Linked DNA regions of Neurospora crassa OR74A. The protein of the gene in region 2 binds, or shares a complex with, the protein of the main gene of each other region. Links are inferred from orthologs where the notes say so. Each region holds a gene or a part of one and is shown on either strand. Other genes may lie near its edges.

Region 1 (3,463 bases), about 3.7 Mb from region 2:
AAAATCAATAAACAAGATGGGTTCAAGGTAATGGCCACAGTCCAAAAAGGGGTTCATTACATCTGGAAGGGAGTTCATGTGTCTGTTTTTTTCGATATATTGTCTTCATATGATGTCGAGTGAATATCATACATATCGGACTGCCGAACTGTACATATAGGTACCGACTGCCAGGAGTTTCATTTTGAAAACCGAGACGTAGAGCATCATTGTTGTGACTCAGAACGTCGGTGGGTATCAGTGAAATTTCTTATAAGACGGACTTGAAGTTGTTAATACTTCAGTAAAGTACCGTCCCGTCTGCTTTCTTTTTCATGTTCCATGTAAGTGGCATTAAGATAATGAAGAGTCTTGAGTCTGGATCAAAGTAACTAGGTTTTGAAAAAAAAAATTAGTTACGGAACTACGTAGGCTGGCTTGCTTTCCTGATAACTTCATTACTCTTCAGCCGCATTATGAGATTCTGGTTCAAGGGCAAGCCGATGAACCCAATATCGCCCCTACTGCAGCACAGGAACTGTTCGACTCGTTTTGGACTTTCTCATAAGCTCGGTTCTGTCACGGTTTTGCTTTAGACACTTGTTCGTCCCATTGATGCAACTTGTGAGGTCCATAGGTCCCCCGGTCGTGATTTTGTGATCATCGATCATGGCTTTGCTCGCTATATTGCTACAAGGGGTAAGTTTGAGATATGTGTAAGATGACACTCATCCTCGGCGCGCCGTCCGTCCCCGTAGCCCAAGTCCCATCCTTTCTTAACCCCCCCAAATCCTTGGCCCCTTCTCATTTCATTGCATTCATACTGCGTAGGCGTAGTGGCGTGTGTAGCGATGGGACGTCGCGAGAGGGAATGATAATAAGCAGAGGAAGAAGAAAAAAAAATATGTTTATGGGTTGTTATTGTTGCTTGTTGTTCGTTTAGTTGCGCTCGCCGCCCTGCTCCCTGGTGATCTCGTCACTGTTTCTCGAATGTTAGTAACTGCCTTGTTTTTAGAACTTTCTTTTATTTGTGAAGGAGAATCGAGGCCCGGCTTCCTCTGATGATGGTGTGCGTAGCTGACTACGGCCCATATGATGCGCGCCCGGCCTGGTGTGTTTGTGGCGACTATGCGCCGGTGGTGGCTGTTGGCTGGCTGATGGGTCGTTCTTACATGTGATCAGAAAGAGTCTTGAGGTGCTTCTGCTGCTCGGCGAGCTTCTTCTTGAGCTCGAGGAGCTTCTCCTTCTCGCGCTGGCGGATAGCGAAATCCTCGTTGGCCTTCTCGCGGCGCTGGAAAGCGTCACTGGAATGGGAGGGTATGATGTCAGCGGGTTTGAACTAGTTGGAGTCGCCGCGTATCCACGTGCGCGTGCGAGGAACGCGGCGGAACAAAAACTCACCCTGGGCCGCCGGTCTTTGGGGGAGCACCAGTCTCACCGGCGAGAGCGCGGGAGGTGGTCGCAAACGCCCTGGAAACGGTAGGGCGAGCGAGCTTGGAGACGGTGGTGCGGAGCATCTTGATGGTTGGTTTGGTGGTTTGGTTGGACTAGAGTGACGTGGGTTAAGCTTTAGCGGATGGGGTCTCTTTTCTTAGGTTGGCGTGCCAGAAGACAGATTTGATGGGTGATTTGATTAAAAAGAGTTGAGTGTATGTATGGGAGAAGATGTGTTACAACAGTTGGACAGTCGCGGAAGTTGGTGTAAGCTACCTTTTTCTATTGAATCGTCGAGTTAGTTGTCAATGCGATTACGTTGTGTAGGCGATGGTGATCCAATTGCGTAGTGTACACTTGCTTGGGATGACCTGACGAAAACTGGAGACTGGAGTTCGGGGACGGGGATGGAGCTTCTCGGGTCCGCAGGGACGTCGAAGCTCGGTTCTGTTCTCCAGCGAATGTCGTCGCGGGTTGGGGGTTTGTACGTACCTTACCTTCCATACCGGGACAAGGCTCAAGGCTCGTGGCTTCTGGCGCCGACTTGCTCCGCCTGTCCGCTGACGGCTCGGCTGTGGCAGTCGCTGACAGTTGGCAGCTTTACCGCAATCGGGTTGGATCAGACAAACCTAGTTCTCGCCTGAGGCAGCAGTTTGTTGCGACGACACTCGACAGTGTTCTTTGCGCAAGCTTCCATGGCACGCTCAACCCCACTGCCCCGCCAAACCTAGCTCACCCCTCTTCCCACTTTCAGCTGTCTTGCTGGGAGGTAACGAATGACGCATCAGGGGCTGAGAGGGGGTCCGAAAGCAATCATGATCTGGAGTCAATCAATGCCCTGGAGTGAAAGACAACCACAAACGAAACTCCGTCGTGTGTCTTAGACCAAGTACCTAGTTTTGTCAACAAACGGCCCAGGGCAACAACTCCCCTGATTCAACTTGTCTCATTCAGTGATGTTGTGACTTTGATTGCAAGCACGCAAGAAGCAGGGCAACTTTGCAACCTGAACGCCACCACCTGCTGTGAACACACTCGGCAGTGAGATCTTGGTTGGCGCAAGCGGGCGGCTCTGTGGGTTTGCACAACCCAAACCCAACTTGGAGTCCCATTGAACCCTCCAGCCGTTCCAGCCCGAATTCTATATCATTCATTCAGAGTGTCTCTATGGGCGGCTTGCCCCTCCAGCCTTCTTGCATCATAGTATTGTACCAACTACCACGGCATGGATTTTGCCAAACTCCATGGAGCCGGAGATCATCGTGTTCCTGGCATTCGTGAAGGGCCTTGCGATTGAGCAAGGTCAGACAAGGGACCCTGGGTGGACTCCATCCTCTCAATCATAAATGCGGGCCCATCCCTGTCCATCGAGGTCTGGACAGCGACCTCACGGCGAGAGGGATGAAGCTCAGCTGATGCTATAGGAACGGTTACATCTGGAGGGCGACAACATGTAGGGCGAGACCCGAATGGTCTCTAGATGGCTTCAGCGTGATGGGTGTGAGCAGAAAGATCTCTTGAAATTGTAGAGATGATGCCAAAGCAAGAGTTGTAGACCGTGAGACCGATCCCGTTTGGCCAGGCGAGACAGGGTCTTGTTTAAGGACATAGGGGCTGGACACCAGGTGGAATCCGAGCGATTGGTTTGTTTACAGCAGTACATAGAGACTTGTAGCCGTGGAGAGAACTAAGCGCATGATCCAGATATGCCGGGCACTTTATGCCATAGAGACGGATGGATAGGAATTCATGGAACAACGGAATCTAGGTAGGGAGCGGCAACCAAGGTCCAATCGCTTCAATCATGGCATCCATCCGTTGCGTGTATGATTCCAGGTTGGCGGGATGAAAATAGGGCTGTTGAATAACACCACCAGGAGGAAGGGGCTGATGGTGGTGTTTGTGACTGCCACGACAGAGGGTTATCACTATCAGAGTTTTTCATTCAAGAAGCAACGTGGTGTCTCCTTTCGGCCTACCTATTTTATGATTCCGCCGTCGTTCGCTGCGTGGCACACCTATCCGGCAGGGCTGCCCAGCTGCTGTCTGG
Region 2 (4,197 bases):
TTTCTAGCATCAAAACCAGCCTTTTTAATAATAAAGTCTTAATAGATTCTAACTAACATAATTGTACAGCCAAACCACGGAATGTTCTTAGGCAATAATAGCCGTAAGGTATATAGATATTGAAACTCCTATCGAAATTCGCGCTATTTTGATACGCAATATAACTCATCAATAGCAAAAAGACCGATCCGTTTATAGAATTCTAGGGACCGCAATATAGCCTTAAATTTTACACTTATCGCAAGCTCTAGGCTCAGTAAAACATGGGTATAATCGCCGCATTGAATCTAGTCCTAAATATCCCGGTTCTATATACGAATTAGTAGGATTCCAGTATAAAAGGGGGGCAAAAAGCTTACTCTTAGAATTACGTCTTTATCTACCCATACTAGCTTTAAATCTAGCACCTTAGTAGCAATATCATTACGTTAACTTTCCCTAAGCTTAGTAAACAGTACGATTTATATCGTAATTTTATTATACAAAGCTAAAAATACATATAGGACAATACTTTTTCCGTAGCCCATTACCACAACTAATATCGTATCCTTTTATTCGCATACTAGCCGCACTACCACTTAAACCTAGCCTTCTCGAGGCTCTCTATTATTACTAATAATATTTTTCATAACTCTTAGTACGCATTAGGGATTAATAGGGGCATTAACATCGGAATCTATAGCATTGAATGTAGTACTAATAGAATAAAAATTCGAAGAAAAAAAATAATACATCGCAAAGATAAGCGAATTGTACTCGGAGGATAAGACAATTGTAATAATCATACCTACAAAATTTCAAAAAGTTGAGATAAAATATAGTATTGTAGTAAATAGCTAGTCGGCCAACTGACATGTGTCAACACCTAATTTTTTTACGTTTATACAAAAACTTGGCACTTTTATTGGACGCATTAAAAAACTAATTATACTATTAGATTCGTCTCGTCGAGTAGATTCTCCCTATACCCATTAAAGTTCCAGAACTTCCTTTTTTATTTTATTATCATAGAGTCTTACTGGGAAGTTAGTGATTTTATCCCAGCCTCTACAATTCCTATCTGATTGGGAACTCAAACCTCTTTTTTAGGCGTTCTCAATCAATACCGTTAAATATACTAAAAGAATAGATGCACGGACCACAAGTCTGAAAGATTAGAAAGATTCAATTTGAATTTCCGGGCGCGCAGCGCCCTTTCCATTGTACGCGCAGCGCACGGGCCGCAAGCCCCCTTCCCGGCCGCAGGCCGCCCATGCCCAAAAAAGAGGTCTGATTCTGAGATAAGCTAAGTAGGCAGGTTTCAGTGAGGTGGATGGCACGGTGCCCAACAGGAACGGAACAAAAAGAGCTTTTCAAGACAGCCTTCAATTCCACAAGTGAGTTGTACCGCTTGTTCATCTGCAAGTGAGTAGACTGATGCCGCGGTGCAGGATCGCAGGTGCGGGCCAGACCGGGTGCCCCACCCACATGGTAGCTCTGGCAGCTGTCATGGCTGGCAAGAAAGTTTGGCAGAACTCGGCAGCAAGATGGCCTTCCACCTGTGTACATCCGGGCCATAGGTACACTAGATAGGTAAGTGAGGTGCTGCGTGGGGAGCACACCGCAGCTGGCAGGCAGCCAGTAACTAACCAAGCCAATGGCCGGGCAGCAGTCCTCAGCCATTGCCAGGCTCTAGCCGGGAAAAAGGCGAAGGCGCCCGACTGGGGACTGGACAGCGGCACGATGGCGAGCCACACCTCACGAAGAAAGCACGGCCGGAAAGTGAGCAGAGAGCGGAAAGTGTGGAACCGACCTCAGCAAACCTCTCACGCCAATTGCGTCCTATTCCTATTGATCACTCCCCCACGATCAATTGCCGCCTGAATATCAAGTGGTCAACCCCGGGCCACTCCTCTCCAGCAGGTCTCTCCCTCGTCAAATATCCATCTCAACATGCTGTCCAGAGCTGCCCGCCCGGCCCTGAGAGCTGGAGCCGCCGTCTCGTCCCGGTAGGTGCTCTCCCAAGAAAAAAAAAATACCATGTCCTTCTTCCGTAAGAGTGCTCCGTCCGTCTCCGTCCAACATCTCGCCATCTCGCCTCCGTCTGTTCGTCAACCACCGTGCACCAACCGACTACAGCTTCTCGGGGTCTTCGTCTGGCTCTCAGCTCTCTGTGCGACTTGGAAACGAATGCGATTGCGCCGCCAGGTCCCCGATACATGACGTCCGATATATGGAGGGGCAGCACAAGCAAGCAAGCAGGGAACGGGTCGGGTGGGGAGAGAGAGAGAGAAGAGGAGTTGGACACACACACACCCATACGCACACGAGAACGAGAACGGACACGCGATAGCCCCGACACATCGAACCTTGAGACAGAACATGCAGACTGATTGAAGGTCATGACAACAGAGCGGCTGCTCCCGGCGCGGCCACCTTCGCGACTCTCCGTGAAATCGAGACCCGCCTCAAGTCGATTCGCAACATCGAGAAGATCACCAACACCATGAAGATTGTTGCCTCGACCAAGCTCAACCGCGCCCAGCGTGCCATGACCGAGTCCCGCGGCTACGGTGCCACCAGCAACGAGGTCTTCACCTCGGCCGAGACTAAGCCTCTCGAGGCTGAGGGCAAGAAGAAGCTCGTCGTCGTCTGCTCCTCCGACAAGGGTCTCTGCGGTGGTGTCCACTCCGGTCTTGCGCGCTTCATCCGTCGCCGCGCCGCCACCGAGCCTGAGTTCGACATCGTCATCATCGGCGAGAAGGCCAAGGCCCAGCTCTCCCGTACCAACGCCAAGGACATCGTCCTCAACTTCTCCGGTGTTGGCAAGGACATCCCCACCTTCGTCGAGGCCTCTGCCATCGCCGACCAGATCACCCAGCTCAAGGGCGACTACTCTTCCGTTGAGATTGTCTACAACAAGTTCATCAACGCCACCAGCTACGAGCCCACCGTCATTGAGGCATTTTCTGAGGATGCCATCCTCGCTTCCCGTACGTCCTGTCGGCCACCGTGATGCCCGTCGAGGTTCAGTCAGCTGACTAAGTTATATCCAGCCAACTTTTCCGCTTTTGAGGTTGATGAAGAGGTCCTTGGCAACCTCCGCGAGTACGCCCTCGCCAACTCCCTCTACTGGGCTCTCTGCGAGGGTCACGCCTGCGAGATTTCTGCCCGTCGCAACGCCATGGACGTGAGTTCTCCTCCCGTCCCATGCCACCTCTTTGAAGTCGACAGCGGACAGGCTGCTGACGTGAATTCTCTTACCCCTTATCCAGAACGCTTCCAAGAACGCCGGCGAGATGATCAGCAAGTACCAGATTCTCTTCAACCGTACTCGCCAGGCCGTCATTACCGGCGAGTTGGTCGAAATTATCACTGGTGCCACCGCTTCGGCCGATATGTAAACAGCAGCCTAAACAACCGCAGTCTATTAATAGAAGACGAAGATGTATTGAGGGAAAAGGAGAGGGGACCTGAGTAAAAGAAAAGGGTCCAAAGCCGAAATCCATCATCCCTGTCTGCACTCTCAGTTGACATTCAACCATGCCGTTCGAAAGTGTACGAGTATGCGTGGTGTGTGGTATGTCTAGTCCTGGTCCAAAAAGCTGCGTGCCAAATGCCTTCCTTTGTACCAATCAAATGAGCTAGCCTTTCCTTTATTGTACCAACGCCTTCAGTCCATAAATTGTACCACTTCTTTCACACACCTGCCCACTCCGTCGTCAGTAAGCCTTGAAGACATAGCCGCTGTAGTTTCAGTCCACTCAACAAATCTCAGCTGGGATGAGCGCTTGTCAGATGCATGACAATGTCGCTCAGTACAAATTCGTCGGTAAATTCTCAGTAAGCAACCTGACCACGCCGCCGGCCAACTTTCATTCGAAATAAAAGCCGCAGACGGGTGATAAGGGGTGGGGCTTCCATCTCGATGGGTTCGTATATTTGTGAGGAGTTGCTTGTGTTTCCAATATCATCCTGTCTTATCCCGCCTCCATTCCGCGCCGCCGTCGCTTGTTTGGGGCGCTTGATGGGACTGAATGTGTGAAGAGCATGGGAGATGGGATGGAAGTTTCTAATCCTTTTCCGATGTTCAACGGTTAAAAGGACTGGCTGCTTCATTTGCTGTGGAGTTTTGTACATACTCACTTCCCCGCCTGGTTTTAGTATAGGCGACGTTTGCATCTATGCCCTTGGGACAATAATAAAGAGTGGAACAAA
Region 3 (3,614 bases), on a different chromosome or scaffold from region 2:
GGTTGTTGCCCAACGTGGTGTGGTAGTGGTGGTGCCGTTGTTGAAATATTTGAAATTTTGGGAATTGTAGCGAAAGAAACAAACCTCTTTGAACTGCAGCTTGGTGGTCGTCTGGGATCATGGTCTTGTGTTTTTTTTTTTTTTCTTTTTACAAGAGCTATGGATGGGCTCCCGTAGGAAAGGTAATTAGTATGCACTTGAGATGAACATTTGTTTGTTTGTGGTTAGGTGAGTGGAGGAAGTCGGGTGATGTTTGGCTCTGTTAGGGGAGGAACCTGAGTCTGTGCCTGGCTGCCCGGACTTCTTTGCTGGTAGCGTCCGTGAGCCCGAATGTTAACGACCGACTCCCCTTTCGGGTACATACCTACCTAGAGGTAAGCTTCCTCACTTTCCGCTTGTCAGTGGGTTGATGAGGCTGCTAAGAAATGACAAACAATTCTTTATTGATCACATTTTCTATTTTTAAGAACCCAATCTTTCAACTCAACTGGCTTCGTCGAATAAGCGCCTACCGTATTTTGCATATCATGCAATGAAGCCCAAAGAGGCAATGAGACGCTGTACTTCAGGGAAAGGAATCCCTTGTGCAACATCTACGACTCTCGGACCTGTTACCTCTGTCAATGAGCGGCACACCCATTCTAACACTTTTTCAAGTTCATTTATATGTCACTCAGATTCACTTCCAACCAGTCACACCCAGTTCACAAAGTAAATGCCAATAAACCGTCTATTGAGTTTCTCTTCCTCGCTCCCCCAATATGTTTGATGATACAGGTCATACGTCTTCGGGCTTAGTGACACTCGGCAGGAGGTGAGGATTTGAGTGCCATGCGGGAGCGATTCGCGATATGACCCTATTTCTCTCATCTCCCGGTCCACCACTACACCACCATTCCTAGCACATCGTCACGGTGTGTTGGTTGTGTGTGTGTCGATCCGCTTAAGAAGAGGGAACGGAGGTGGCGTTCTCGGCGGCGGCGGCAGCGTTGGCGGAGCTGAGGTTGACGGTCTCGCCAGGCTTGCCGTTCTGTAGTTTGGAAAGAGAGGGGGTGTGATTAGCTTCTCTTTCGTGTTGTTTACGTCCAGTGCCGGTGTCCATCCATCTTCATGATTTTTTTTCTCTCCGTCTCCTCACTCGTGACATTCCCCCCTCCTCTTTCTTCTTCTCTTGTCTGATTGTTCCCCGATAGCCAAAAGACAAAAAGATTATTACGTACCGACCACTTAGCGAACTTGACCTCGGCAGCCTCGCCACGACGCTCAGCAATGATTCTCTTATCCTCCTTGAGGGAGCGACGGAGCGCACGAGAGGCGACCGCGAGGTAGCGGTTGTAGCTGTAATTTTCGTGAACCGTGTTAGCCTTCGTTGTCTTGTAGTACTGTTTTCTCTCGTCCGGTCCCCTCTGCTATGTTCCCCCCTCTTGCCCTGCTCCTGATCCTCGTGTGTTGCTCATTCCGTGCGCTATCTGGTGATTGTAGTGCGTATGTCTGTCGTAGCTCTGGATGAATGCTGGCCTGCTTTGTTGCTTCGAAGTCGTCGTTACGCATCGCTTGCTCGCTTTCCGGTGTTTTTGTCGCATTCGGGCCCGTCTCTCCATGTCATGGACATTCGGCGCTTTTCTCGACCAAGTGTGTCGTGTATTATCTCTCTCCTTGATCTCCCTCAATGTTTCCCTGGGTCCTGCTGTCGTCCATGACCTGGGGTTATCTCCGTCCTCTTTCTCTCCCAGTCTTTCTCATTCCACCTGTTGTAGGTCGCCCGTAGATTGTCGTCCATCGATCGTATTTCAAGTCGCGGGGCAATTACAACCCCAGATTTCGGCGCATGTAATCGTTGTAATCTCTGTTGTCGAGCTCGTTCGTGGGTAGGCAGGCTCGTTGGTCCCATCATCCTCCTCCATCCTTCTCTCTCTCTCTCTCTCTCTCTCTCTGTCGCGGCAATTCTGGTCTTCTTCCTCCCACACTTCCGATAAACTGCCCTATTTGCCCTGCCTCTCCCCGTCCCCAAGCCAATAAAAACGAAAAGACAAGATACTCACGTAATGCCAGCGGCCTTCCAAGCGAACACCATGTTGGGCGAAGATTGTGGGGTGGGTGGGTGGGTGTTGTCTTGACGGTGAAACGAAGAAAGACTTGTTGCTGTCTGCTGCTTGCTGCTTGCTGCGGTACTTGCTTGCGCGCGATTCGGTTCACTCTCGACTCGACAAAACTGGTCCCCACCCTGGCACACCCATCCACCCAATCCACATCCAACACCAGGGAACCCGAGAAGCTCCGCTGCCCGAAGCTCCGTCGTGTGTCACGTGATGCCCCTCCTTTTTTTTTGTCTTCAGTTGTGACCCCAACTCCCCCAACTGAGACGCCGCCCCAAGCTTCCTTCCATGCCATGCAGTGACGGAACAGGAGCTACGGGCGCCCGCCGCCGCCGCCGCCAGGGCAAGCTCGGCAGCTTACCTAACAAGGTCAAAAGTAAACATCGACCCCTGATACCTATTTTGAATGGACCTGTGTGATTGATGTTTGACATTGAATGTGCTATCGCATTTGTAAACTTTCAAATGAGCTCAAGCATTCTCGTCTCTTCCAAACTACTTATCTTCGCCGTAAAACTCACTAGCATATCTCATCTCATTCCTTAAGCTTGACATTTCACCCTCGTTTGTAACAGGTATCCAATGTCAACAAAAGAAATAATGCCTGCTGCATTTTGTGTTTTATAGCTCTGCTAGAGAAGTAGTGGCGAGGAATGATAAAAAGTCTAGAGGTTTGTATATGCACAAAAAGTCGTCGGTCCCCAGCCGTTCGTTCTTCATCTCCCGCTTCACAACGAGAAAGGTCTACAACACACTTCATCCCGGCCGGTTTTGCTGTTGGTACACGGTTTTGGTTTTTGTCTCCCAACCCTGGCGTCTTCTCAAAAAAGTATCCACGCCTTTCCAGTTTCAATCGGTTCGTTTCGCTGCGTTTAGGTATTTCCTCTTTCAATTAACTACGAATTGCACAACCCGCTCTGCGCCCCCAAAGTCTAGTCTACGTCTATACCTTGAGACCGAGATCCTCAGCATAGGGAAGGACGTGGAGGTCACCGACGGCGGAAACGGAAGCCTTGCCCTCAAGGAGCTTCTTGGCAGCCTGTTGAACGTTTGTTAGCATATCTTTTTTTTCTTTTCCAACTTCTTGTAGGTTCACACATACAGCCTGGAGCTTCTCAGCGGTAACGCCCTCAAGAGCCTTGAGGGTCTCGGCAACCTGGATGGGCTTGCCACCGGCAAGAAGGTTGGCACCGGCGTGGACGAGGCCAGTGCCGGAAACCTCGCTGGCGGAGAGGAGGTTGAACTTGGCCTTGGCGATAGCCTTGGTGAGGTCCTCCTTGGAGACACCACCGGCAGCGATGGCCTTGAGACCCTTGACGGCCTCGACGGCGACCTTGCCGACGGCGGCACCCTTGCCGGTGATCTGGATGGCGAGGAGACCAGCATCGGAGTAGGCGTAGTTGTGAGCAAAGGCCTCGGCGCCGGGGTTGGCGGCGGTGGCCTTGGCGAGGAGGCTGAAACCGGGGGACCACTTGATGTTGGAGACACCGCCGAGGAGACCGACGAGGACGGAAGTCT

The links.
Region 1: the proteins of NCU09119 (region 2) and NCU02807 are in contact, whole or in part, in a crystal structure (PDB 3ZIA), measured with the Saccharomyces cerevisiae proteins. The link is inferred for Neurospora crassa OR74A from reciprocal best matches to the Saccharomyces cerevisiae genes ATP3 and INH1. Residues at the interface, in NP_009595.1 of Saccharomyces cerevisiae: Met41, Arg42, Lys44, Ser45, Asn48, Ile49; in NP_010100.1 of Saccharomyces cerevisiae: Ser23, Ser26, Thr27, Arg31, Asp37, Phe39.
Region 3: the proteins of NCU09119 (region 2) and NCU03558 are in contact, whole or in part, in a cryo-EM structure (PDB 8F29), measured with the Saccharomyces cerevisiae proteins. The link is inferred for Neurospora crassa OR74A from reciprocal best matches to the Saccharomyces cerevisiae genes ATP3 and ATP15. Residues at the interface, in NP_009595.1 of Saccharomyces cerevisiae: Lys148, Leu152, Pro156, Asn157, Ile159, Lys160, Leu161, Ser162, Ile163, Asn164, Gly165, Ile166, Lys168, Thr172, Phe173, Gln174, Glu175, Ala177, Leu178, Ile179, Asp181, Lys182, Leu184, Ser185, Val186, Met187, Asn237, Arg240, Asp241, Glu244; in NP_015052.1 of Saccharomyces cerevisiae: Trp4, Arg5, Ile9, Ser10, Tyr11, Ala12, Ala13, Leu15, Asn16, Ala19, Gln20, Asn37, Arg38, Gln40, Thr41, Asp42, Ala43, Phe44, Tyr45, Thr46, Gln47, Tyr48, Lys49, Asn50, Thr52, Pro57, Ile60.

What each region holds. Positions count from the first base shown.
Region 1 is NC_026501.1:9,057,177-9,060,639, forward strand, and holds NCU02807 (hypothetical protein), read right to left. Parts: upstream 1,882-3,463; 5' UTR 1,690-1,881; exon of another isoform or gene 1,527-1,689; 5' UTR 1,497-1,526; coding exon 1,381-1,496; intron 1,284-1,380; coding exon 1,152-1,283; intron 959-1,151; coding exon 919-958; 3' UTR 526-918; downstream 1-525. UniProt on the Saccharomyces cerevisiae protein: Endogenous ATPase inhibitor, which inhibits specifically the reverse ATPase reaction of mitochondrial F(1)F(0)-type ATP synthase.
Region 2 is NC_026501.1:5,400,837-5,405,033, forward strand, and holds NCU09119 (ATP synthase subunit gamma), read left to right. Parts: upstream 1-1,347; 5' UTR 1,348-1,572; intron 1,573-1,651; 5' UTR 1,652-1,932; coding exon 1,933-1,988; intron 1,989-2,391; coding exon 2,392-2,972; intron 2,973-3,035; coding exon 3,036-3,169; intron 3,170-3,254; coding exon 3,255-3,383; 3' UTR 3,384-3,685; downstream 3,686-4,197. UniProt on the Saccharomyces cerevisiae protein: Mitochondrial membrane ATP synthase (F(1)F(0) ATP synthase or Complex V) produces ATP from ADP in the presence of a proton gradient across the membrane which is generated by electron transport complexes of the respiratory chain.
Region 3 is NC_026502.1:232,558-236,171, reverse strand, and holds NCU03558 (hypothetical protein), read right to left. Parts: upstream 2,217-3,614; 5' UTR 2,075-2,216; coding exon 2,043-2,074; intron 1,339-2,042; coding exon 1,221-1,338; intron 1,031-1,220; coding exon 944-1,030; 3' UTR 597-943; downstream 1-596. Other genes in the region: NCU03557 (amino-acid N-acetyltransferase subunit Mak10), read right to left, coding at 85-121; NCU03559 (ubiquinol-cytochrome c reductase complex core protein 2), read right to left, coding at 3,040-3,135, 3,199-3,614. UniProt on the Saccharomyces cerevisiae protein: Mitochondrial membrane ATP synthase (F(1)F(0) ATP synthase or Complex V) produces ATP from ADP in the presence of a proton gradient across the membrane which is generated by electron transport complexes of the respiratory chain.